Linked DNA regions of Schizosaccharomyces pombe. The main gene of each other region encodes a partner of the protein of the gene in region 2 in a complex. Each region holds a gene or a part of one and is shown on either strand. Other genes may lie near its edges. The genes, in order: rsc7, arp42, ssr4 and snf22.

The links.
Region 1: arp42 (region 2) and rsc7 share a complex: the UniProt entries of both Schizosaccharomyces pombe proteins name them as parts of the RSC complex.
Region 3: arp42 (region 2) and ssr4 share a complex: the UniProt entries of both Schizosaccharomyces pombe proteins name them as parts of the RSC complex.
Region 4: arp42 (region 2) and snf22 share a complex: the UniProt entries of both Schizosaccharomyces pombe proteins name them as parts of the SWI/SNF global transcription activator complex.

The regions. Positions count from the first base shown.
Region 1 is NC_003421.2:1,387,112-1,392,603, reverse strand, and holds rsc7 (RSC complex subunit Rsc7), read right to left. Parts: upstream 3,900-5,492; 5' UTR 3,807-3,899; coding exon 2,634-3,806; 3' UTR 516-2,633; downstream 1-515. Other genes in the region: akr7 (pyridoxal reductase), read right to left, coding at 4,801-5,492. UniProt on the Schizosaccharomyces pombe protein: Component of the chromatin structure remodeling complex (RSC), which is involved in transcription regulation and nucleosome positioning. Controls particularly membrane and organelle development genes.
Region 2 is NC_003424.3:4,351,790-4,356,975, reverse strand, and holds arp42 (SWI/SNF and RSC complex subunit Arp42), read left to right. Parts: upstream 1-1,715; 5' UTR 1,716-1,799; coding exon 1,800-1,803; exon of another isoform or gene 1,804-1,879; coding exon 1,880-3,150; 3' UTR 3,151-3,398; coding exon of another isoform or gene 3,399-3,566; 3' UTR 3,567-3,616; coding exon of another isoform or gene 3,617-4,462; 3' UTR 4,463-4,643; downstream 4,644-5,186. Other genes in the region: cell wall and ascospore endo-1,3-beta-glucanase Eng2, read left to right, coding at 1-1,273; U1 snRNP-associated protein Usp108, read right to left, coding at 3,399-3,566, 3,617-4,462; pup1 (proteasome core particle subunit beta 2), read right to left, coding at 5,042-5,186. UniProt on the Schizosaccharomyces pombe protein: Component of the chromatin structure remodeling complex (RSC), which is involved in transcription regulation and nucleosome positioning. Controls particularly membrane and organelle development genes.
Region 3 is NC_003423.3:2,001,993-2,006,367, forward strand, and holds ssr4 (SWI/SNF and RSC complex subunit Ssr4), read left to right. Parts: upstream 1-1,703; 5' UTR 1,704-1,723; coding exon 1,724-1,882; intron 1,883-1,929; coding exon 1,930-2,073; intron 2,074-2,096; exon of another isoform or gene 2,097-2,222; coding exon 2,223-3,107; 3' UTR 3,108-3,392; coding exon of another isoform or gene 3,393-3,723; 3' UTR 3,724-3,763; coding exon of another isoform or gene 3,764-3,789; 3' UTR 3,790-3,870; downstream 3,871-4,375. Other genes in the region: anaphase-promoting complex cullin family subunit Apc2, read left to right, coding at 1-378, 423-1,042, 1,088-1,277; SPOM_SPBP23A10.17 (uncharacterized protein), read right to left, coding at 3,393-3,723, 3,764-3,789; mtm1 (Mn(2+) ion transporter), read left to right, coding at 3,976-4,375. UniProt on the Schizosaccharomyces pombe protein: Component of the chromatin structure remodeling complex (RSC), which is involved in transcription regulation and nucleosome positioning. Controls particularly membrane and organelle development genes.
Region 4 is NC_003421.2:2,172,225-2,180,243, reverse strand, and holds the start of snf22 (SWI/SNF ATP-dependent chromatin remodeler Snf22), read left to right. Parts: upstream 1-2,003; 5' UTR 2,004-2,578; coding exon 2,579-7,621; 3' UTR 7,622-7,927; coding exon of another isoform or gene 7,928-8,019. Other genes in the region: SPOM_SPCC1620.13 (phosphoglycerate mutase family protein), read right to left, coding at 7,928-8,019. UniProt on the Schizosaccharomyces pombe protein: Helicase. Component of the SWI/SNF complex, an ATP-dependent chromatin remodeling complex, required for the positive and negative regulation of gene expression of a large number of genes.

The DNA.
Region 1 (5,492 bases), on a different chromosome or scaffold from region 2:
TTTTAACAACTAGCAATAATATAATGCATTTTTAATCCTTTTAAAATTCTTTATAAAAAATCTGTTTTGTATGATGATTGTTAATTAAAGTAATGAATGATTATTTGGGTTTTACAGCGGTAGTCGTTATTGAATGAATACGATGTAGGGATTTTGAATAGAGTCGTTTTCGAAAGTAACTCTTTTTACTTCAGTCAACTTACAGTGCTTAGACTTTTAATTTCTCATAATTAAACAATTTAAATTATCAACACAAAACAGCTTGTCGAGACGAAATGAGTATGGTAGTTAAAACTTTGAAAATTCGAGATTCTCGTTTCTTTTTTATTATTATTGCTTATTTAATTATCTATTTTTGTTTCATCTCAAGTTATAAAAGTTAAATTCTTCTTTATTGCAATTGTAAGCTACTGGACACTATTTATTCTTTTGCACAAAGTTAAAAGAAATTGAGCGGGCATTTCCATTTTTGTTGTTCTCAACAATACTATACAAGTCACTTTACAAAAATGGTATTAGGCGGGATACGTGTACATTTTATTTGTAGACTCAAAATTGTATATAAAAATTCATTCTTCATACTACGGCTTTTTCAGAAATCTCTCAATATTCATCTAGCTCATGTTTTTTGCAAAGAATATTGAGTTTATAAGTACCAAAAATAAACACGACACAAACAACTATGAAGTTTATGCTGTTCAGTATTATGTCAGTTCCGGCAGACGGCGTGCTCCAACCTTGGTCCACTGTTAACTTTATACAAAATATGAGCAAGATGAATGCACTTTAAAAATTTGAAGGTCCCAAAAATGTAAAATTAATAACATAATCCTCAAATCAATTATTGGCAGCTCCTTAGGTTTTCTAGTCAACCAAATTCCTCATAAGCAATGCCTTGAGCCAAAGAGTCAGACCGATGATGAAAATATATCTAATGATCCTCTATAAATACACTCCAGTCTTTATGACTGAACCTGATCAACGTCACGGAATGAATGCCAAATAAGTTTTATTGCGGTGATTAGCAATTCACATTGAGCTTCTTCCTTCTGAGATTTTTTTTCTTTGGTAATTTCCTAAAAGCTAATTTTGTAAGTTTAACAGCTTATGTGTTCTCATACTTCACCACCCATTCTATGGAAACTTGAATTTCGTTAATTTTTCCATTAAAGCTAGTATGCTGAAGCGTTGTTTCTTAGAAAAACATTGAATAAGGTGACTAAATGATTGAATTTATACGTTATTTTTCTTCAATTTCTGTCCGTCAAAATATCTTGTAAAATAATCCATTACTTCTCTAGTGATTTCAATATCGAACTTTTTAAGAGTATAAAAAATCATGGCAATAATAGATACAATATTGATAGTGTTAAAGATGAAATCGGCAACAGCAACGAGTGATAAATCTGTACCATTTTCCAGATTCGATGATTCAATAGTTACTATAAAAATGATAAAGCGGTAAAGCACATTGTATCCGCAATGAAAAGAGATAAAAACAGTAAAATTATCAGTTTGGTCTTTTATAGAATAATAACTTTGTTTGTCAATCCATTCTCTGCACTCGACGTTTGGAAGTTGTGATCGAAATTCTTGCAGTTAAATGGATCCTCTTGCACTCATTGCTTCGTAATCAAAACAGACTAAGTAAACAAAAAATCTTAGGACACAAGGAAATGGATGAATGTAAAATGCCAAAAAAATCATAGCTTTCAGTCCATAGAAGATTTATTACGTCGAATGATCTCACTATTTAATATTGATGAGATACATTTTGCGACACACCTTGGACTTGAAAATTAGTCCATTCTTTTTTTTTTATTTGTCGTGAAGAGCCATTTTTTTATTTACCGTTCTCGTCTGCTTAAAACGCTCTTTTTTTTTGAAGCACGTTACACGAATATCTACTTCTCTCGGTTTCATCATCATGGCAGGGTACGACAGGATAGCAGTAAGAGGTGAGCTCACATATAAAATGTACACCCAGGCGACGATGAAGAAGTTTATCATTCTTCGACAATTCGGGTATGTTTTCCTTGTCCTCCACTTGGTTGCTTATATTGTCGACCTGGTGTATTATTTGAAGGGATTCAATGGTTTTTTCTTTATAATGTGGATGGTGATCGGTTTTGCTTATTTAATATTCATTATAACAGCAATCGTTCTTCTCACAAATACTCCTTCGCCAAAGCCACGTTTTGACTTACCTAAAGTTTTTAACCTACGACCTGACCATGCCCAATAATTCATCAAACAATCCTCCATAATATTCTTCGCCCTCGGCTGGACCGATTAGGACAAGTGAGAGGATACAAGCTAATCGATTGGTTTCGGTTGGTAAACGTTTCATTCAATGGAAACGTCGCGCCATCATTTCTTTAATAGTTTTGTTGAATGTACATCTGATTTTTGTAGACAATATCTTTTTTTCCGCTTTACTAAGCAAAAACAAAGTACTAAAGTAATTGATTAACAAGTTTTGGATTTCGTTAACGCATGTTTTCTCCGTAAATAACTCGAGTAAGAAGATAATTCGGGCTTACGTCGTACGTGTGATAAATGACTGTATACAATCTGAAAATTAATATTATAAAACATCCAAAACAAAATAGGATTAAAAGAAAACGAGCACTCTAGTACATGCTATTCAAACGAATACTACGAATCTCTTGTTCTTGACGTTTGCGAATAGCCTCTTGAACGTGGAGTGGACAACTCGCATAAACGGAGGGAGGGATATTTGCAATAGACACCTGTGGAGCCACATCCGAGTTAAGAGCAACGAGAATATCCAATTTAGGTGCAGGACATTCCGTACCAGTCTTTGCCTGAATCCAATGGGTTTTTGTAGGTTGGGTATTAAGGGGAACATGCAACAAGTTAGTATGTGGTTCAAAATAACCGATATCCTGTTTTTGAACAAGGTATTTTGTAATATCATTATTGTAAGCTGCAGTTGCTTTAGCATGTTGAAAAAGCCATGTGGCATCTTTTGGAGGTTCCTTTTTTCTTTTTCGAGCAGCTGCAGGCAGCTGAGCTTCTAGTGAAGGCTGCGGGTGATATACTGCACTAGCTCCATGCCAAGCGACGTATTGATTTCGATTGTATGGCATACCGGGAGGAGGCAATTTATCGTCTGGATCAGCTAATTCTCCTTCGACGAAACCACGAGCGCGGAATTCTCCTTCCCAGTAATCGTCTACAATTCGTCGACCACCAACGATGATTCTAGCACCAAATTCACGAAAGATAGAACGAGCAGCAACAATACCTACCGCACGGCCTTTGTAAGAATGAGGAATAATATTTCGTTCAATAAGGTCCCATTTCTCAGAATCATCAACAATAATTTTATGCAGTGAACGATGCTTCAAAAATAATAAATACGAATCTCTATAGCCCATTGCTCTCGCTGGTTCGGTGGAAAGCATATACAATCGATTACCACGACCTAAGCACGTGAACGTTCGACATCTATACTCTCGACCGCCATTCAAATACCCCAATTCATTCACTTTTTTCTCTCCTTCTGGATCTACTACACCAAAGTTTAGCTCATCATCTTCCAAAGTAGCCCGATGTGAGTACAAATCCTTCGGTACTACTGTTGAGCTAGAAGACGGCGCTGAAACTCTAGGGCGAGTATTACGATTTCTACGACGCGTACGCCCAGAGTATTCTTCATCATCATCATCACTACTTCCATATGCGGCGTAACTACCCTTAGGAGGGCGTCCTCTTCGCTTCTTCGAGCTTACCGTGTGATTTGTAGGAGTGGAAGCATCGGAGCCAGCCGTAGAATCCATACTTTAATTGCAAGGTGTTTATTCCATAAACAGTTCAATCTTATCGTACTGAATAGCACTGTGTTAAAAATTGCTTTTTTTGGTGGTGAGTTTGGTTATAGTTAGCACAACTACCACTAAACCCATCCTACTGTTAGTAACGCATACCTTGGTGCTACATGTTATACTGATACAAGCAGCCTACTATTTAGATAACTAAATATCAAAAGCATATTGGCGGAAACAATAAGAGTAAGAATGATGATCGTCTTCCTAGATGCAGGATTGAAAACACCTAAGAAATGAGTAACGATTGTCAGTCGTAGAAGATACTAGCAGTTAAATAAAATACTTTCTACTACACCGCTTTTTGAAGCACCATAATACGTTGGGTTTTCATTGTTGTATTGAATTCAAAAATGAATCTCCAGCCTTGGCAACCAATTCAATGTAAATTCTTATCGCAATTAATAATCGAGCGTAACCTATCTGTAGATAATTCCTATTGATTAAAATAAGTTTCAAGAAAATGATTGAAGCATCGCGCTTATTGACATCTCATTTTGTGCATCGTCGACTAGACCGAAATAACCGTAGACCATCATAATACTTTAGGGTTGAATTTATATCAAGGCTACAATTTCGTTCCTAAATTACTTTATGCAGAGCAGTTGACATTCTAAAAAATTGTGTCACCAAAGTCATGATTATTCTGTGTAAAGGAAGTTTCTGATTATTCAATTATACCCAAAGCTTATTGAAAGTTTTCTTGTTCCTTACACTACCTTACTTTCTATTTTTTACACAGTGTAAGATAAATCACTGACAATAGAGAATAATATATAAAGGTGTGAATAAACTCAAAGACTACAGTCTTAGTTTTTAAAGAAATATTTTATTGTATTGATGCCGATAGGATGACACAGCATGTATACATCTAAATCTAGAGAGGAGTTAAGGTTAAATGCAAATATTAAATAAAAAACTCAAATCGGTGAAGTTGCTAAAATCATGCTCAGATGGAAAGGGTGGATTCAAGTTGTTTGTTGTAACGAAGTCCAAAGATTTGATGTTTATCCAAAACTTTTTTAGCCTCTTCAAGTTGTTCTGAACTCAAAGATTTCTTGAGTGCACTAAGATTGCTCTCAGCTCGTTGAACAGTTGTAGATCCAGGAATAGGAATGATCATGCCTTTTCCGTTTGCAATAATGAAGTTAAGAGCGAATTCAGGCATACTCATACCAAACTTTTGAGCCAATTGCTCGACTGCTTTAAGAAACGGGATATTTTTTTCAAAAACTTTTGGATTAAACTTGTCCATATTCCGTAAGAAGGGAAATGCTTTGATAAAGTCTTTAAGATCTTCAGCAGTCTTGACACGCCCAGTTAAAAGTCCATGACAGAAAGGCGCGTAAGCGATTATTGGGATAGAGAGCTGTGTACAAGTATCGAGAATGCCATTTTTCTCGATATCTCGTGAGAATAGAGAGTATTCGGTTTCGACTGCCGCAATAGGCACGATGGCAAGGGCGCGTTTGATGCTTTCAGCAGAAGCCTCGCTAAGACCGACACATGAAATTTCTCCTGAGTCTACAAAAGCCTTCAATGCTTTCATGGTAGTTTCAATTGGAACTTTGTGATCAACTCGGGCACATTGGAAGAGATCTAGCTTTTTCTTTCCACGTAAACGAGTAAGTGCATTTTTTA
Region 2 (5,186 bases):
GCTAATGTTTGCTCTTCCCCATCATATGCAAAGTTTTGGTTCTGACACTCAAGCGTACAAAACAGGTTTAGGCTTAGCCAGTACAACAATGGGTATAATGTTTGCCTATGCTACTAAAACTTGGCATTTAATCGAAAAAAATCTTCCAACGCAGGTAGGTTTTTTACCAATTCCTTGGAATGGTGGAAGCAATACGTATTCTCCTACTGCTTTAGCCGCGATTCGTGCAGCTTGTGCAACTGATATTAACTTCGATGTCGTAAATGCCAGTAACCTTGACTCAATGTACACGTCTGGAAAAATAGTAGCCATGTATGCTCAAGTTTGTTTGGTAGCTTCTAGAATCCTTGGTGATAGCACTCTCACTAACACTGGATTGACAAAATTGAAGCAAGCCATGGCTAGATTTACTACGAATACGCAAATGTATCCCCTCGTTTATGATACCACATATAAAGGTATCATCAGTACGGCAGGATATAGTTCTCCTTTAGCAGATTATGGTAATACCTACTATAATGACCATCATTTTCACTGGGGTTATCATATTTACGCATGTGCGGTAATTGGTCTATTGGATCCTTCCTGGCTGGTTAATGATAACATTCGCTATGTAAATGCTTTATTAAGAGACAGTGCAAATCCAAGTGAAAGTGACACCTATTTTGCTATGTTTAGAAACTTCGACTGGTTTGTTGGACATTCATGGGCAACAGGTATATTTGAAAGTGGAGACGGTAAAGATGAAGAGTCAACCTCAGAAGACTTCAACTTTCTGTATGCAACGAAATTGTGGGGTATGGTGAGAAATGATACTGTTCTTATCAACCGTGCAAACTTGATGCTCGCCGTCCTAAAGAACAGTTTAAATACCTACATATACATGACACCCACTACTTCAGTACAGCCTTCACAAATTCTCGGCAATTACGTGACAGGAATTACATTCATGAACAAAGTTGATTATGCAACTTACTTTTCAGCTGAAGAATATTGTAAACAAGGCATTCACATGATTCCAACTACGCCTATCAGCGGATACCTTCGTTCTCCATCTTACGTTCAACAAGACTGGAACGCCAAAATTGCTCCGATAATAAATACATTTTCAAACAATTGGACTGGTATTTTATGGTCCAATTATGCAATTTACGATCCAAAAACTGCATACAATACCTTTGCTGCCAGTACCTTTACTGCTGATAAAATTGATAACGGAGCTAGTAAAACCTGGTACTTAGCTATGGCTGCTGGTATGGGTGGATCACCATGATGGCAAGGGAGCTAATGAAAAACTGAAGCATTACTTTTCGTTTCAAAATTATGTAACCATTTCAAAACAACACATAGAGAGAGCTACCTATTAGCTTTTTAAAACACTATCATTTGTTTTAAAGTTTTAATGAAATACTAATACTATGAAATAGAAAACGTAGCTATTAATGCAAAAAAACTGCTTATTCAAGTTGGCTTACTTCGAAGTTTTCCATAAATATTAAAGACAGAAAATTACTTTTTCGCTTCTGCATTGTTTTAAAACATTAACTAGTTCAATGGCTTAAGAAACAAATAAATGAATATTTCTAAAGTATATGATCAAAAAAGCCGTAAATTGTAGAGTTCACTATTCACGACTACTGAACGCCTTAACACTTTCAACGATGCATTAAATTTCTTTATATAGTATTGCTATCCAACACACGAAACTAAGGTTTACGAGACTAATAATTATATAATTCCTGCATCTACTAAAAGGATATTTTATCCATTTAAAACTATACTAAACTATTTACATAGACATGGGTAAGTGCGGTTAATCAACCATAATATGTGTTGAGACGAAGACAATGGCATGAAATGGCTAATGACCATACTTTAGAGGAAATTCCGTCATTGGTAATAGATCCTGGGAGTTGTTGGACAAGATTTGGTTATGCAGGAGAAGAAAGTCCGATGACTATCTTACCTTCATATTACGGTGTTCGATCTGATGTGACTGGTCGAAATAAATATGTTGTTGATGAGTTACAAATTCATGCTCCTATCCCAGGAATGGAAGTCAAAAACGGAAAAAGTAATGGGATTATACAAGATTGGGAATCTACTTTGTACACGTGGGAGCGTGGACTGAAAGAAAAACTACAGGTAAATCCCACAGAGTATGCTATGATGATTACTGAGCCTAGCTGGAATCCGCAATCTGTTAGACAACAAATCATGGAAGCTGCTTTCGAGCAACTTCATGTTCCTGCTTTTTATTTGACAAAACAAGCTGTTTGCGTGGCATTTGCCAATAGCAAATCTACAGCGCTAATTGTCGATATAGGCTCAGATAATGCTAGCGTTACTCCTGTTGTCGATGGATTGATTATACGCAAAGGAATTTTTAAACAAAGTTTAGCTGGCGACTTTTTGAATGCTAATATTGAGCAATTGTTTAATACTATGAACATAGAATTTCCTCCACACTATAGAATTGCTAGAAAATCGGTTGCCATTCAACAATCAGGTAATATGGCTAACGGCAGCGCAGATGCCGTGAAACCAGCTGTACTGTATCCACCTATTCAAGATCTTACCTCTTCTTACGAAATTTTTCAGAAGCGTAGGGTCATAGAAGAATGGAAAGAAAGCGTTTTAGATGTTTTGGATACCCCGTTTGATGAAGCAAAAGCATCCTCTAGAAACCCTAAGCCTTTTGAATTTCCGGATGGGGTTACACATAAGTTTGGTCAAGAGAGGTTTCGCATTAGTGAAATACTCTTTAATCCCTCGTTTTCAGCCAGCAGAAGTGCTGAAACAACGCCTCCACAGGGTTCCGTGGGTCTTCATGAACTTGTTTATCAATCCATCCTTGCTTGCGACTCTGAATTACGTTCTCCTCTATTGAACAACATTGTAGTTACCGGAGGAACTTCCTTAATACCTGGATTATCAGAAAGGTTACAAGCTGAGGTTCAGCGGTTGGCTACTGGAAGTCGCATCAATGTTCATACCGCAGAAACCGCTTCTGCCACAAGCAACGCCGTTTGGTTTGGTGGCTCAATTCTTGCTAGTTTGGATAATTTTCAACATTTGTGGGTATCTAAGCAAGAGTACGATGAAGTAGGTGTTGACAGAGCTTTGTTTGTTGAGAAAAGATGCAAGTAATCCGCCTGTGTTATTTGCTCACAAAAAATAAAGTCTTCAAAACCCAAGAGAGTATAAAATAAATTTACGAAATCTCGCATAACACGTCCATAATTCTTTCTTTTTTGCTGAGCTTTATCAACGTTGTATATAACAAAATCAAATACCCAAAGTGCTTCGAATTAATTATTAAATCTAATTTAACATAAATGTATGAAACAATTCTAATTTCAAGCAAAATTGTCAGAAACATTCTAAAGCTTTTTTTTTTACTTTCTGCCTAACGATATAAGAGCAGCATAAAGTTGCATTAAAGCAGATTGATTAGCTTCCGAGGTACCAACAACCGAAATAAACTTCTCATTGCTGTTTGAGTCTGATTCCTCAACAGTTATGTTAGCATTTGTATTCTGAGATATTTCCATCAGTTTATGAGGCTAGAACAATATAGTTAGTATACTTATCTGAAATATTTATAAGAGCTTACCATAGCGTGATAAAGTTGATCGAGTAAAGAAGATGGAACGGACATTTTCTGAGATACGACTTGGGTTGCAGCTATATTTAAAGGAATCGAGGGTCCAGAGTGAGGAAATACTTGAGTGGTTCGAAGGGGATCAGGATTTCCTCCGGCACTAGTGAGAGCTATAGGAGGGATTCCATAAGGGTTTTCAGGTGTTACCATACTACTCATATGATTAAATTGTGTAAAAGTAGAAGGCGAACCATATATGCCATATGCAGCATCTGGAATGTAAGGTACAACGCTAACGCGGGGAATGAAAGAAATTCTTGAAAGGATGTATTTTAATAAAGTTTCAATAACAACTGAAGCATCTATTTCATTAGTTTCCAAGGTAACCAGTCTTTCAGAGGATCTGGGTAGGAGAGATGCTGAGTATAAAAGCTTGGTTGAATTGGAAACAGAAAACAAAGAAGGAATTAAGTTCTGGTGAATCAGAACTTTTGAACCCAATATTAAAGATGATACTGCTAAATTGATGTTCAAGGAAGCGTCTTCTTCTTTAGTAGGAGTGACAACTTTTATAAGTGCAGGTATACTAGAAGCAAGGTTTGAAACACTTGAAGTGCATATGAATATCTTTCTAGCAGTATTTGAAGAAGAGTATGTCTCTACACGAACTTGGCCATTTTTTAATATTTCCTGTTGAATATCCTGCGGTAACAAATTCCATTCTTGGACTTGCTGAGCAGTTAACACTAATCGAACGCGACATTCATTTTCATTGTCTCCAAAAGTTTGGGCAGCTGTTAAAACGGGAGGTCGAAGAATGTCCGCTGAAATTGAAACCACTGATGTACCAGAGTCCATATTGGATATCTCTTAGTTGGCAATTTGGATATTGCTGCATACAACGGTGTTCCATCTACGTAGGAAGAAGTGCGTTATTCTTCGCTATGCAATCAATTTTTTGAAATATAGAAATCTACAAGTTTTCATATTATTTTATGCTTTCACAATTGATAACAGTTATAATTATTGATTTATCACAGTTGGTTATTGTAAAGAGTATGCATATAAGCAACACTAACAAACGATGGACTCGGTTTAAACCAACGAACTCGCACAGTTTCAAAACTGAAACGAAGTAGATATGTATCGCTCACTTAGTAATTAGATTATTGAGGTTTGATGATCTCATATTTGTCATTACATGGTAGGCTTTTTACCAACAAACGTAACAATTTTATCTATTTACTCAGACGAAAGTTTAAGAAATGCGTTGCCGTAAGGAGAGTAGTAAAAATAGTTTTCTATAATAATCAAATTTTGTGAAGCATCAGAAAAACTTTATTTAAATCTCAAATAGAACATAAAAACGATAATCAGCGAGAGGAGCTGCAACATATAGGTATCATGGCCTTATAGTAAGCCTTATAGATGCAAAATCTATACATCAACTTGCATTTCATCAAGATCTTGAACAGTTACGAACTTGTAAATGTCCTCTTTCAGAACTGCAGTGGTGCCGCGATCATAGGTGTACTTAGATTGTTTTGTTGCACGTTCATTAGGTTTGGAATAACCTCTGTAT
Region 3 (4,375 bases), on a different chromosome or scaffold from region 2:
CGTTGTTTTGTTGCATTAGACCCCCCTGGTGTTCTTTTAGACAAAGCTGCCAAACCCATTCGTTCTTTTCTAAATGAACGAGAAGATGCATATAAATGCTTGGTTTCCTTATTGTTTGTTGACGGTGAAAAAGGCCTACGCTCTGAGCTTTCTCAAATTCCCACTGAAAACATCGACTCAACAACGGATCGATTTGATAATTACCACTGGATGCCGGATCCGATTGATGCGGCTCCTGACTTTAAAAAACCAACCGATAGAGACGTTGTTGGAAGTCTCATTTCCATTTTTAAAAGCAAGGAGCCCTTAGTGAAGGAATTACAATTGTTACTAGCTGATCGACTTTTACAACTTACAGATTATCATTATGAAGTTGAGGTTTGTTTTATTCTATTTAAGTTGAATTTTCTAACGTTTTTTAGGCAAAAAATATAGAGTTTTTAAAGTATCGATTTGGAGAGACTGTTCTGCAAATGTGTAGTGTTATGCTGAACGATATTGAGAATTCAAGATTTATTGATCAGAGCATCCACATGGAGAACTATGTTTCGAAAGGTTTGCACGTAACTATTTTATCAAGATTATTTTGGCCTACTTTGTCTGTTCGATATTTTCATTTACCTGGCCCTCTGAAAAAAGAACTCGATGCATATGCTGAAGAATACAGAGAAAGAAAGAGAAAAAGGGAGCTTGTTTTTTTACCCAACTTAGGATCGGTAGAGTTGGAAATTGAGCTTGAGGATAGAACACTCACGTTGACAGTTACACCGGAGCAAGCTGCCTTTATATCACTTTTTGAAGAGACTTCTACATTACATATTGAGAAAGCTGCTGAACTTTTAGATCAGCCGAAAGAAATAGTTGAGCGACATTTGAAATTTTGGCTTCATCATCGAGTGCTTACCGACATCGGCGACGACCGATATCGTGTTCGTGAAACTGAAGCCGAAACCGCGACAGAAACTGTACTTGATGAAATCCAAGGGGTATCAGCTGTTCAAAGTGAAGCCGAAAGCAGTGCCGCTGAGATGCGTGTTTACTGGTATGTTTCTTTATTAAAACTAAAATTTGTAATTAATAAAAAAAGGTCTTTTGTTGTAGGAATGTTGACGAACCTTGGAGCTCTTGAGCTTGAACGAATTCACAACATGCTCACGATGTTTATCCCACCGCCAAACGGCTATACTCGTACCCAGAGCGAGCTAAGAGAATTTCTAGCATTAATGATCAAAGAGGAAAAGTTGGAGTTTACTGGAGGAGCTTATAAGCTCAAATAATTAATGGCTATAGAATCCTTTGTCTGTTAAGAAAAGCCTTGGGATTTTTATGAACTTTTTTATGGACATCTCATTTAATTTTACGAAAACCATCACTTATACATTGCATGTCTATTGGCATATTGTCTACTAATGATTAGCAGCTAACTGTTACTATTTAAGTATGTCTTTACATTCATGCTCTTGTTTAGCTATTTACGATTCTACGATGGTTAAACGGATCTGATCAAGATAGTTGTAATGAACACAGAGACACTAGAGTATGTTTATACATTACCTAGAGTTTCGTATAGATACTGTAAATATTAGAAATTTCATTTAAACAGTGAAAACTGATGTAACATCGTTATATGAAATAGTGCAACAGAACAAAGCCAAAACTTCTGCATCTTGATAGATATGAGTAAGTTGTACCATCCAAAACTTACATATAATTAAAATCAACAATGGCGGCTACAATGGCAGCTCAGAGTCTATTATCGATTCCAGTGGAATACCGATCTCAGGTATGGTGTCGAGCGAATTTACCATATCCACCAGCACCACAATTACCAATCCCTGCTGTCGTAGATATATTAACAAAAGCGTCCCAGGCTTTACCACAGGTAGTTTTTAGAAGACTTCAATATATGTTTTTTCTAACAAATTTTAGATTTCATTTTCTTGGACTCTCATAGATCAACCACCAGATGGTTCCTTGTTTTTAGTTTGGCAAGCACCTACATTACCATCTCCACCAGATGGAATGCATTTTATGAGCAATGAAAGGTTTTTTAATATGGACGTTGCAGGAAAGGTAAGTTGCTCACAAGCACTGCGGTATAAGGGATCATTAAGCAATTGTCTAGGAACTTGCATATGTGTATCCCCGTTTATTTTAAAATAAATGCTTCAAATAAATTATTATTTTACTGAATTTATAAGTTTACTAATACAATACGATAGGTACTAGAAATTCATGAAGCAAAACACGGTTTTTATCCACTATCTGAAACTCGAACTATGCATGTTAGATGCCGATATCGATTATTAGGAGTTGGTTTTGATAATTTTTGGCTTGTACACTATTTTCAAGGTTCAGAAACTGATAGCATTCCTGCGAATATATCAGTTGCCAAACCACCTCATTTACGACGATACCCTTTACCAGACGTTAAAACTTCTCCATTTTTGCTTCAAGAACCAAAAAAACATATTCCAGAAGGTACAGCTTTATCACAGAGAGAAACCTTGCCAAATATGGGATCTGCTCAGATGAAGTCCCAATCAAGGACTCCATCGTTCTCTAATGTTACTACGTCTCCTGTTCCTCCTATCAATTCTAATGCAACAGCACAGACTGCAGAAGGACACATGGGTGCAACGAATATGACAGTCGATAACATGAACAAGCCATCCATTCCTCCAAATGGCAATACTTCAATTCTAATGCAAGAGGATTTAGAGATTGAAAAGGGTGATGTTATGGATAAACTTTCTCCGCAACAAATTTGTACGGCTCGATTTATCAAACACGCAGAATGGATGAGTCAAGTACTTTTGACACTTCAATCAGTCAAAGACATCGAACCTCCAGCACTATGGCAAGAACCTAATTCAATGGAAGAACTTGGTAAAGAGTTGAAAGATAACAAGGAGCAACTTGTAAAACAAGATCAGAAGTATCAAAGTCTCCAAGGTGATCTTTCCTACACTGATAGCATGTCCAACTTATTAAAAGAATTTTCCAACATCAAGTCGGCAGAAGAATGTGATGTCTTACAAAAAAAAATTGAGGAGTTCGCTGAAGCCAAAATCGTTCCTTTAAGTCACGTTACGGAAAGATCATAGAAGATTTAAAGTGTAGTATAGAAAAAACATGTTGAGGCTAATCAGAAAGAAGATTTGAAAAGTACGTACGTCCTACTTTAAAGCCTTGTCGCTTAATGATAGAATGCCATTGTCATTAGGGTAAACAAACAAGCACTGATATTCCTACATCGAATTTTTTTACCTTGTTTTAGGAGGATTGGGTGAAGGTGACAGAAAAATGAAATATTTTATAATGACAGGTAGATAGTTAAGAGTATGGTTCCGAATAATTTCATACATAGTATAAGGACGATGCGCTTCATATCAAAACTGGAATTTTGTTTGCCGATCTTCAACAAGCTTATTTAGTACTTCCCCTAGAGTCTTTTGTTTTTCCAGTAGTTCCAAGTATTCAACACGCATTGTCTGGAACATAGCCTTCCATTCGCTTTCCTGAATTTCCCAACTACTTTTTTTGACACAGCTTGACTCTAATTCTTCAATCTTTTTTTCTATTTTCTTATAAAGTTGTTTATCAGTTTCTAACGCTTCAGTTGCAGTTAAGAGCTCGTCTTTGTTCTGTTTACTGGTGGAAATCAATGCCTGGACCCCGGCAGCATAGCTCAAACTCGCACCTGCAAGAAACCCTACGATTCTAATAATTAGCAAGTAGTAATAGGCATATCATCACACACCCACTTCGTAGATACGACATCTTCATTCAATTGACTGTTCTAAGTACCATAGCCGTTTCTACCTTATTAAGACAGAACTCTCAGACCAGATATATGATAGTGCATTGCATAACGTTATTTGGTTTAATGAAGTTTAACTACGACTTCGTAGATGAAAGGACGGTGCTTCGTAATGAAGATGACAGGAACACAAACAGAGTCAGAGAGAATACATGCAGATAGGAGCTGCGACAGAAGGCGTAGAAGCTGACTTGTCGGTGAATGCTGAGCCCGATGTGAAGCCTATAGCGAAAATGCTGTCAGCTTGTGTAGGAAGTGTAATTACAACGCTGACTGTAACGCCTTTAGATGTTGTGAAAACCCGCTTGCAGAGTGAATCTATTTCTCAATATTCTTCTACGCAACCCATTTCTTCAGCAAAGATATTGGGGAAGGGAAGGCCAGCTCCAAAGCCTTTAGGAGGCCCGGTATCCGGACTTTATCAGATCGCTCGGCATGAAGGTGTTAGAAGCTTGTGGCGTGGATTAGTTCCTTCATTGACAATGCTCTTGCCAGCAAACACTGTACAGTTTCTTGGGTATGAGCAATTACTTCCCTTATACAGTGATTGGG
Region 4 (8,019 bases), on a different chromosome or scaffold from region 2:
GACACTTTCATATAACAATAATTACCTCATCTGTTACAATTATATATTGCATGCCATCATATAGTAGATCGCAATGAAGCTCGTCGCTCTTTTACGTAACGTTAAAGCAGATACCGAGTTGCATAGCTGACAGACATAATAGAAATTATTAAATCTGTACGGTATATATTTTTGCGATGATCCCGCTTATATCACTCGCTCCTGTTCTTTACTTTCATCTGGTTGAATGCAGAGTATGAAGGATTATGTGGAAAAAACACTAAACTACATTTATCGTTCATTCTATGCCACAGAATTCACTCTAGTTAAACCATGGTTTAAGCAAATCTACGGAGTACGTAGCAATATATAACGAGGATTTGTGAGTTGTGTGCTGAGAAATAACCTATTCAATTGCAAGCAAGTGTGGAAACTTAATTAATAGCGTACGTGGACCTACTACAGTAGAGCATATAGCGAGTGTATATAGAGAACGCAATTAGGCAAATAAAAAAAAAATACATTTAGGCAGGTTGGACAGATGGGCAAAAAAGGTAGCAGAAGTTAATTGCGGTTGATGAGATCCGAATTTTCGATGTTAAGTTAGGCAGATGATTGAAAGTAAACCAAAGGATTTCGAAATTCATATATGGTATTGGGAATTGATTATCAGCAGAGTAGGAAAATTAATTACATGCTTTTAATCCCCGAAAACCATCTATCCCATTACGATAGTGACCCATAGTTAATTATGTCTTACAGCATCCTTTTTCCTCCTTGATAGTATGCATGTCTTAATGAATCCATGCATATGATTCAGGAAATACAAATACATCTTCCTTTCAAAACCTTTTAACCAATATATACTGCTACTAAAACCAGACCTGAAATTGCTTTTGGGTTGGTAAGTTTTGCAAGTGGTCTCTTTGAATCATTTTTCATGGGAAAGATATACTCTCTTATGTTAAGTAGGAAATCATGATTTTCATTAGACTGCACATTCTAAAAGGGTCCACTTCTTCCTTTGACAGATTACAAAATTTGCGGATCCAGACATCTTTCTCACTTACTGGTTTACCACTTTACGCCGAGTTCCCAATCCGATTAGTTATTGCACCATTCAAAATTTGGAAAATCAATGCAAATGATTTAATGTTCCCTGCCTCGTCTATCGTACTGATATATTTATTTCATTACCTGTATTTTCCAATCCTTTCCCTTTCACTTTTTTAAAACAAATTGTATGGAAAAGCATTATGATAGCCAAGTTCTCTACAATTACTGTTAATGAGTAATTGTCATATATTCTATAAGATACATTTTATCAGCTTATCCTAATCTATACGATTCTAATTAATTTCCTCTTTTATTAGTTTTCAAGTTTGAAAATTTCAAGGATGTTTTGTTGACTGCCAAGCCGATGGTATATTGTGGTCTTTAACCTTCTTATTTTCAGGGGAACCCCATTAGTGCCGTCGTCTGTTTATACCGAGAATAAGTCGATTTCCGCATTCGCAAGTATTTATTCCTTTAAATGCTTGCATTCCCCTCGTATTTTCTTTGGAGTCTTTTTTTTATTTTTTTTGGCTTGCTTCGTTCAACGAACGAAAGCTCTGAAACTCACTCATCCACTTTTTAGCAAATACACCTTCCCCACATTTTTCTCTACATTCAAGAAAAAATGTACCTTCTATCTTGATCATTCACATTTGCATTGATTCACTGTTTCATTCATTTCGTATATATCGGATATGTGGTGGATTGAATTGAAGAATGCTAGCTCACCGCGAAACAGTGTCTGTACACTACAATGGTAAACGAATTTGAGTACGCTTTGCATCTCTCATTATATCTTCGTTTATGCAATCTAACACATAGTTTGCTAGTTTATTTAGCATCCTATTTTTTATTTCGCAATGCTAATCTTTTCCGAAAAAAAAAAGTTGACGTTATTACTATATAACGCAACGTAATTATGATCCATAAATCGTCAAATTAAACTGGAGGGGTTTTTTTTTTTTTTTAAGGATGAGCTGGCCTTCGGTTTCCCTTCAAGTTTTGCTTCACTAGGGTGATTGTACTTTTTTTAATCAAACCATGCTTTTTAATCTTTTACTCTGCTGTGTTTGCAAATTGATTGAGGTTGCAGACTCTTTTCGTTGCTTCTCACTACCGTGTGCTGCTTTTGTTTTCTATTCTTCCTGCCACCAACCGCCATCTTCAATCTCGTAGACCCACATTTCCCCTTTTTCCTCTATTATTTATTCAATTGAAGCCTATATGTTTATTTAAAAAGTTCTTTTCTTTCTACACTGTATATTTTCTAAAGCTGGGTCCTTCTGGTTTCTTTTTTCACTCTATACTTTAACGCTTTAAATTTTAATACTTTGTTGAAAGACGCGATCTCTTTCTTAAAGGTCAAAGTTACTCAATTGAAATTTTTTTTTAAAGGGATTTGTTTTTTCTTTTAAAGTAATCTTTATTAAACTTTTTCTCTCGTTGTTTTTTAAGTGCACCAAATTATCCATTTGTACGTTGAGGGTTTTCGGTCATTGTTGTTGTAATATTGATTTGCGATTTACTAAAACACATTTCTCCGATGTTTGCTGTTCAAGGGAATCAGAAATTTCCGAAAGGGTTGACCAAGGATAATATACAATCTCTTTATCAACAATGGCAGGTAATGAGAAACCAAGGTGCTACGGAGGAAAATAACCCCGAGTTTGCTCAAATTAGTTCCATTTTAAGGATGGTTCAAAGAGCTCATTATGCCCGTATGCAGCAGATGCGGAACCAATCTTCTGAATTTCCTGATGCTGAGAACACCAATCTTCGAAAGCAGCAGGATACTCTTCCTACTACAGGATTTAACAATCTCCCAGAAGGAAAAGCTGGTATGCAAACTCTTCCTGGTAGGCCTGCTTCTAATGGACCAACCCCTCCTAACCCTGGCAATGGAAATGTCGGATTAAACAATCCTTCCTACATGAATAGTCAAGCATCGCCAAACATTATGAATGCTCCTTTACAAAGGGATACTTCAGTACCTCCTGCACCTAGTATGGTTCATCCACATACAAATACGAATGCGAATAGTAATAATTTGAAAGTGTATGCGAACCAACTATCCCAACAAAACACCTCCAATCCCACTTATCATAATGCTTATGATATGGCATCCATGATGAAAAATGGTTCTCGTATGAATAACTCTTTTCCTCCTACCACACCTTATCCACCTGCTAACGACACTACTGTCAATTCCTCTCTTCCTCATTCCTTTGCCTCCCCTTCGTCCACATTTGAACAACCACATACAGTTCAATCGAGAGCTCCGTCAGTTGATACAACATCAAGTTCTCACAGCTTTAGTGCTAGGAATATACCTGCTAATGTCTCGATGCAGCAGCAAATGGGCCGAAGAGGCTCGATACCTGTAAACCCATCAACTTTCTCAGCTTCTTCCCCTCCGTCTGGTTCTATGTTGGCTTCTCCATACAACGGGTATCAGAATGATGCTGCTTCCTTTGCTCATTCGAAGCTCCCTTCTTCCGCAAATCCAAATACTCCTTTTAACTCTACGGCTACTGTAGACGTTGGTGCAGCCGGTTCGCATTTTCCCTATCCTCAGCCCTCTAACCTTGATGCTATTAATGCTAAAACATACTTTCAATCTTCTTCTAATTCCCCGGCACCATATGTATATAGAAATAACCTACCGCCTTCTGCAACTTCTTTTCAACCTTCTTCATCTCGATCACCTTCAGTAGATCCAAATACTGTGAAGTCTGCGCAGCATATACCTCGAATGTCTCCCTCACCCTCCGCATCAGCTTTAAAAACACAATCTCACGTACCTTCTGCAAAAGTGCCTCCTACTTCCAAACTTAATCATGCTCAACTTGCTATGCTGAAAAGTCAGATAGTTGCATATAACTGTTTGAATTCCCCAAATGGACAAGTCCCTCCTGCTGTGCAACAAGCCATATTTGGCAGGGTCTATGGAGCTTCGAATGAAGTTTCTCCTTCAATGCCATTTCAGCAAAACGTTCCTCAAATGTCGTCTGTAAAGAAGGATACTCCTACAAGAGATGCAAACATGCGTACCTCTAAGGCACCCTACATTCAGAATATTCCAAATCAATTTCAAAGACGAGCCTATTCTGCTACGATTCCTGTCAAGAATGAGTCTCTTGCAAAACCATCAGTTTCACCTATGCCGTTACAACAGTCGACTGGAAAAACCGAGGTTGCTAAAAGAGCACAGTTTCCCACAAACGTCAACTACTCTTCTTGCGTAGATCCAAGAACTTATGTTAAAACGCCTATTCCCTTCAGTAAGTTTTCCTCTTCGGAAAACCTATCGCTCATCCCATCACTCTTGCCTCCTAGTATATCATGGGATGATGTTTTTCTCTCTTCTGAGATTGCAATTGCTTGTTCAATTGCTAACAGAATTGATTTTCTAGAAAAGGAGAACAGGCCAAAGTCGGTGAACAAAAAAATATTGCAACAAGACAAGTCAAAATCAATGATTGAGTTGCGTTGTCTGCGTTTATTAGAAAAACAACGATCTCTACGCGAGACAATAAATTCAGTCATTCCTCACTCGGATAGTTTGGCTGCAGGAAATTTAAGACTTATGTTTCGAAACGTGAAACGGCAAACGATGCAAGAAGCCAATTTAGTTTTAGCCCTTGCTGAGAAACAAAAAACCGAACATGCCATGAGACAAAAAGAAAAGCTTCTAACTCACCTAAGGTCTATCATGCTGCACAGAAAGTCAATTGTGACAAAAGTGGACAAGCAGAATAAAGCTAAAACTCAGCGATGCAAGGATATTATAAATTTTCATGCCCATCTAGAAAAGGAAGAGAAAAAACGAATCGAACGTAGTGCTCGTCAAAGATTACAGGCTCTCCGTGCTGATGACGAAGCCGCATATTTGCAGTTACTAGACAAGGCGAAAGATACTCGTATCACTCATCTTTTAAAACAAACTGATCAGTATTTGGAAAATCTTACACGTGCCGTCCGGATTCAACAATCCAATATTCACAGTGGAAATACTTCTGGAAAAGGTAGCAATTCTGCCGAATTAGAAGCCCCAATTAGTGAGGAAGATAAGAATCTTGATTATTTTAAAGTGGCTCACCGTATTCATGAAGAGGTTGAGCAGCCAAAGATTTTTGTTGGTGGCACTCTAAAAGACTATCAATTGAAGGGTCTTGAATGGATGTTGTCGCTATACAATAACAACCTCAATGGGATCCTGGCTGACGAGATGGGTTTGGGTAAAACAATCCAAACTATTGCGTTTATCACATATTTGATTGAGAAAAAAAATCAGCAAGGACCATTTCTTATTATAGTACCATTGTCTACTCTAACAAATTGGATTATGGAATTCGAAAAATGGGCTCCCAGTGTTAAGAAAATAGCTTATAAAGGCCCTCCGCAATTGAGAAAAACATTACAATCCCAAATCCGATCTAGCAATTTCAACGTCTTGCTCACCACATTTGAATATATCATTAAGGATCGTCCTTTACTTTCTCGGATTAAATGGGTTCACATGATTATAGATGAAGGGCACCGTATAAAAAATACCCAATCAAAGTTAACGAGTACTTTATCTACTTATTATCATTCCCAGTATCGTCTCATTTTGACTGGTACACCTTTGCAAAATAACCTACCAGAGCTTTGGGCTCTTCTTAACTTTGTCTTACCAAAAATCTTCAATTCAATTAAAAGTTTTGATGAATGGTTCAATACACCTTTTGCTAATACTGGTGGACAAGATAAAATAGGGCTTAATGAAGAAGAAGCTTTACTTATTATAAAACGTTTGCATAAAGTCCTTCGACCATTTTTGTTCCGAAGACTTAAAAAAGACGTCGAAAAGGAGCTACCCGACAAGGTTGAGAAAGTCATCAAGTGCCCTCTTTCAGGCTTGCAATTAAAATTGTACCAACAAATGAAGAAGCATGGTATGCTTTTTGTGGATGGTGAGAAAGGAAAAACGGGTATTAAAGGACTACAGAACACGGTTATGCAACTTAAGAAGATATGCAATCATCCGTTCATATTTGAAGATGTTGAAAGAGCCATCGATCCATCCGGAACTAACGTCGACTTGCTTTGGAGAGCTGCTGGCAAGTTTGAGCTGTTAGATCGTATTCTTCCAAAGCTGTTTTTAACAGGTCATAAAACCCTTATGTTCTTTCAAATGACTCAGATCATGACTATAATGGAGGATTATTTGCGATCAAAGAATTGGAAATATCTTCGTTTAGATGGTTCAACAAAATCTGACGATCGATGCTCCCTTCTTGCACAGTTCAACGATCCAAAGTCAGATGTTTACATTTTCATGCTTAGTACTCGTGCTGGTGGGTTGGGTCTCAACTTACAAACTGCTGACACTGTCATAATTTTTGATACCGATTGGAATCCCCATCAGGATTTGCAAGCTCAAGATCGTGCTCATCGTATCGGGCAGACCAAAGAGGTGCGAATTCTCCGTTTGATCACGGAAAAGTCTATTGAAGAGAACATTCTTTCTCGAGCTCAGTATAAGCTTGACCTTGATGGAAAAGTTATCCAAGCTGGTAAGTTTGACAACAAGTCTACACCTGAGGAGCGTGAAGCTTTTTTACGTTCTTTACTTGAACATGATGGCGACGATGATCATGACTTAACTTACGGCGAACTTCAAGATGATGAGTTGAACGAGTTGATTTCTAGAACAGATGAAGAGCTCGTACTTTTTAAAAAATTAGATAAAGAACGTGCAGCTACCGATATATATGGTAAAGGTAAACCGCTGGAACGTTTACTTACTGTAAATGAACTTCCTGACTTTTATAAAGTCGAGGTTGACAGTTTTGCAGTTCAAAGCTCTAGTGAGTTGGAGGATCAGTATCTCGAAAGAAAGCGACGTCGTCGTAATTCTATCAGTTATACGGAATTAACCCTCGACGAATTAAATACAGTTGACGATCCATCTTCCACTCTAATGCCGCGTAAAAGAGGTCGACCGAGAAAAAAAACAAACTCAGGCTCTAGTCTATCAACCCCTTTATCACAAGAATCCAGTTTGGCCAGAAGTGGTCGAAAAAATACACCTTCATATAAGCAGAAGGCACTTAGAAGATATTGTATGGAAATCTTTGAAAGGCTGTATAATCTTCAAAGTGAAGACGGCAGATTCGTTAATGGTCTTTTCCTTTATCCTCCCAACCGCAAACTTTACCCTGATTACTATATAATAATTAAACGACCCATAGCTCTTGGAAAAATTAAAAGGAATATTAAGAATGACCGTTATGGAGATGTTGGAGAACTGATTGCAGATTTTATGCTCATGTTTAATAATGCATATACCTATAATGAAGAGCATTCAATTGTTTACGAGGATGCAAAATTAATGGAAAAAACTCTAAAGGAGGTGATTGAAGATTTAGAAAAAAACAATTCTTTGCATGCATATGAGGAAGAGGCTTTAAATGAGGAACAAGCATCTCTTGTCTTTTTGGAAAACTCTGAAGCAGAGCTACCGTTGGATTCTGGTATAGTAAGCGCCGAAGATGACAAAGTTATTACTTATGAAGATTCTTCTTCTTCTTATTCGGAGTAGGACTAACGTTTTACCTTTTGTCGTTTTATTTTAATGCCTTGTTTATAATATTTTGGTACATTTTGTTAGGTGAGGACTATTGCGACTTCAAAGCTCAGTGAAGACTTAGTCAATCACGAGTTATTCTTCTAAATGTCTAAGCCTGTATAATATATATGTTTATTTCTTAAAAGAATTCAATTTTATTTATTACAGAAGATTACTTCAACAATTAAAAAAGCATTGATATACTTGAGTATAGATTTGTGTTTCACCTGTTACAAATGATGTCTTAATTTAATTAAAGGTGAATAGTTACACACATTTTTAATTTAGCTTGCTACAAAATTCTGTAATCGGTTTCTGTTTGGAGTCGTATGTAGAGCTGCCTAACTTGCGGGTTCGTTTGATACCACGCA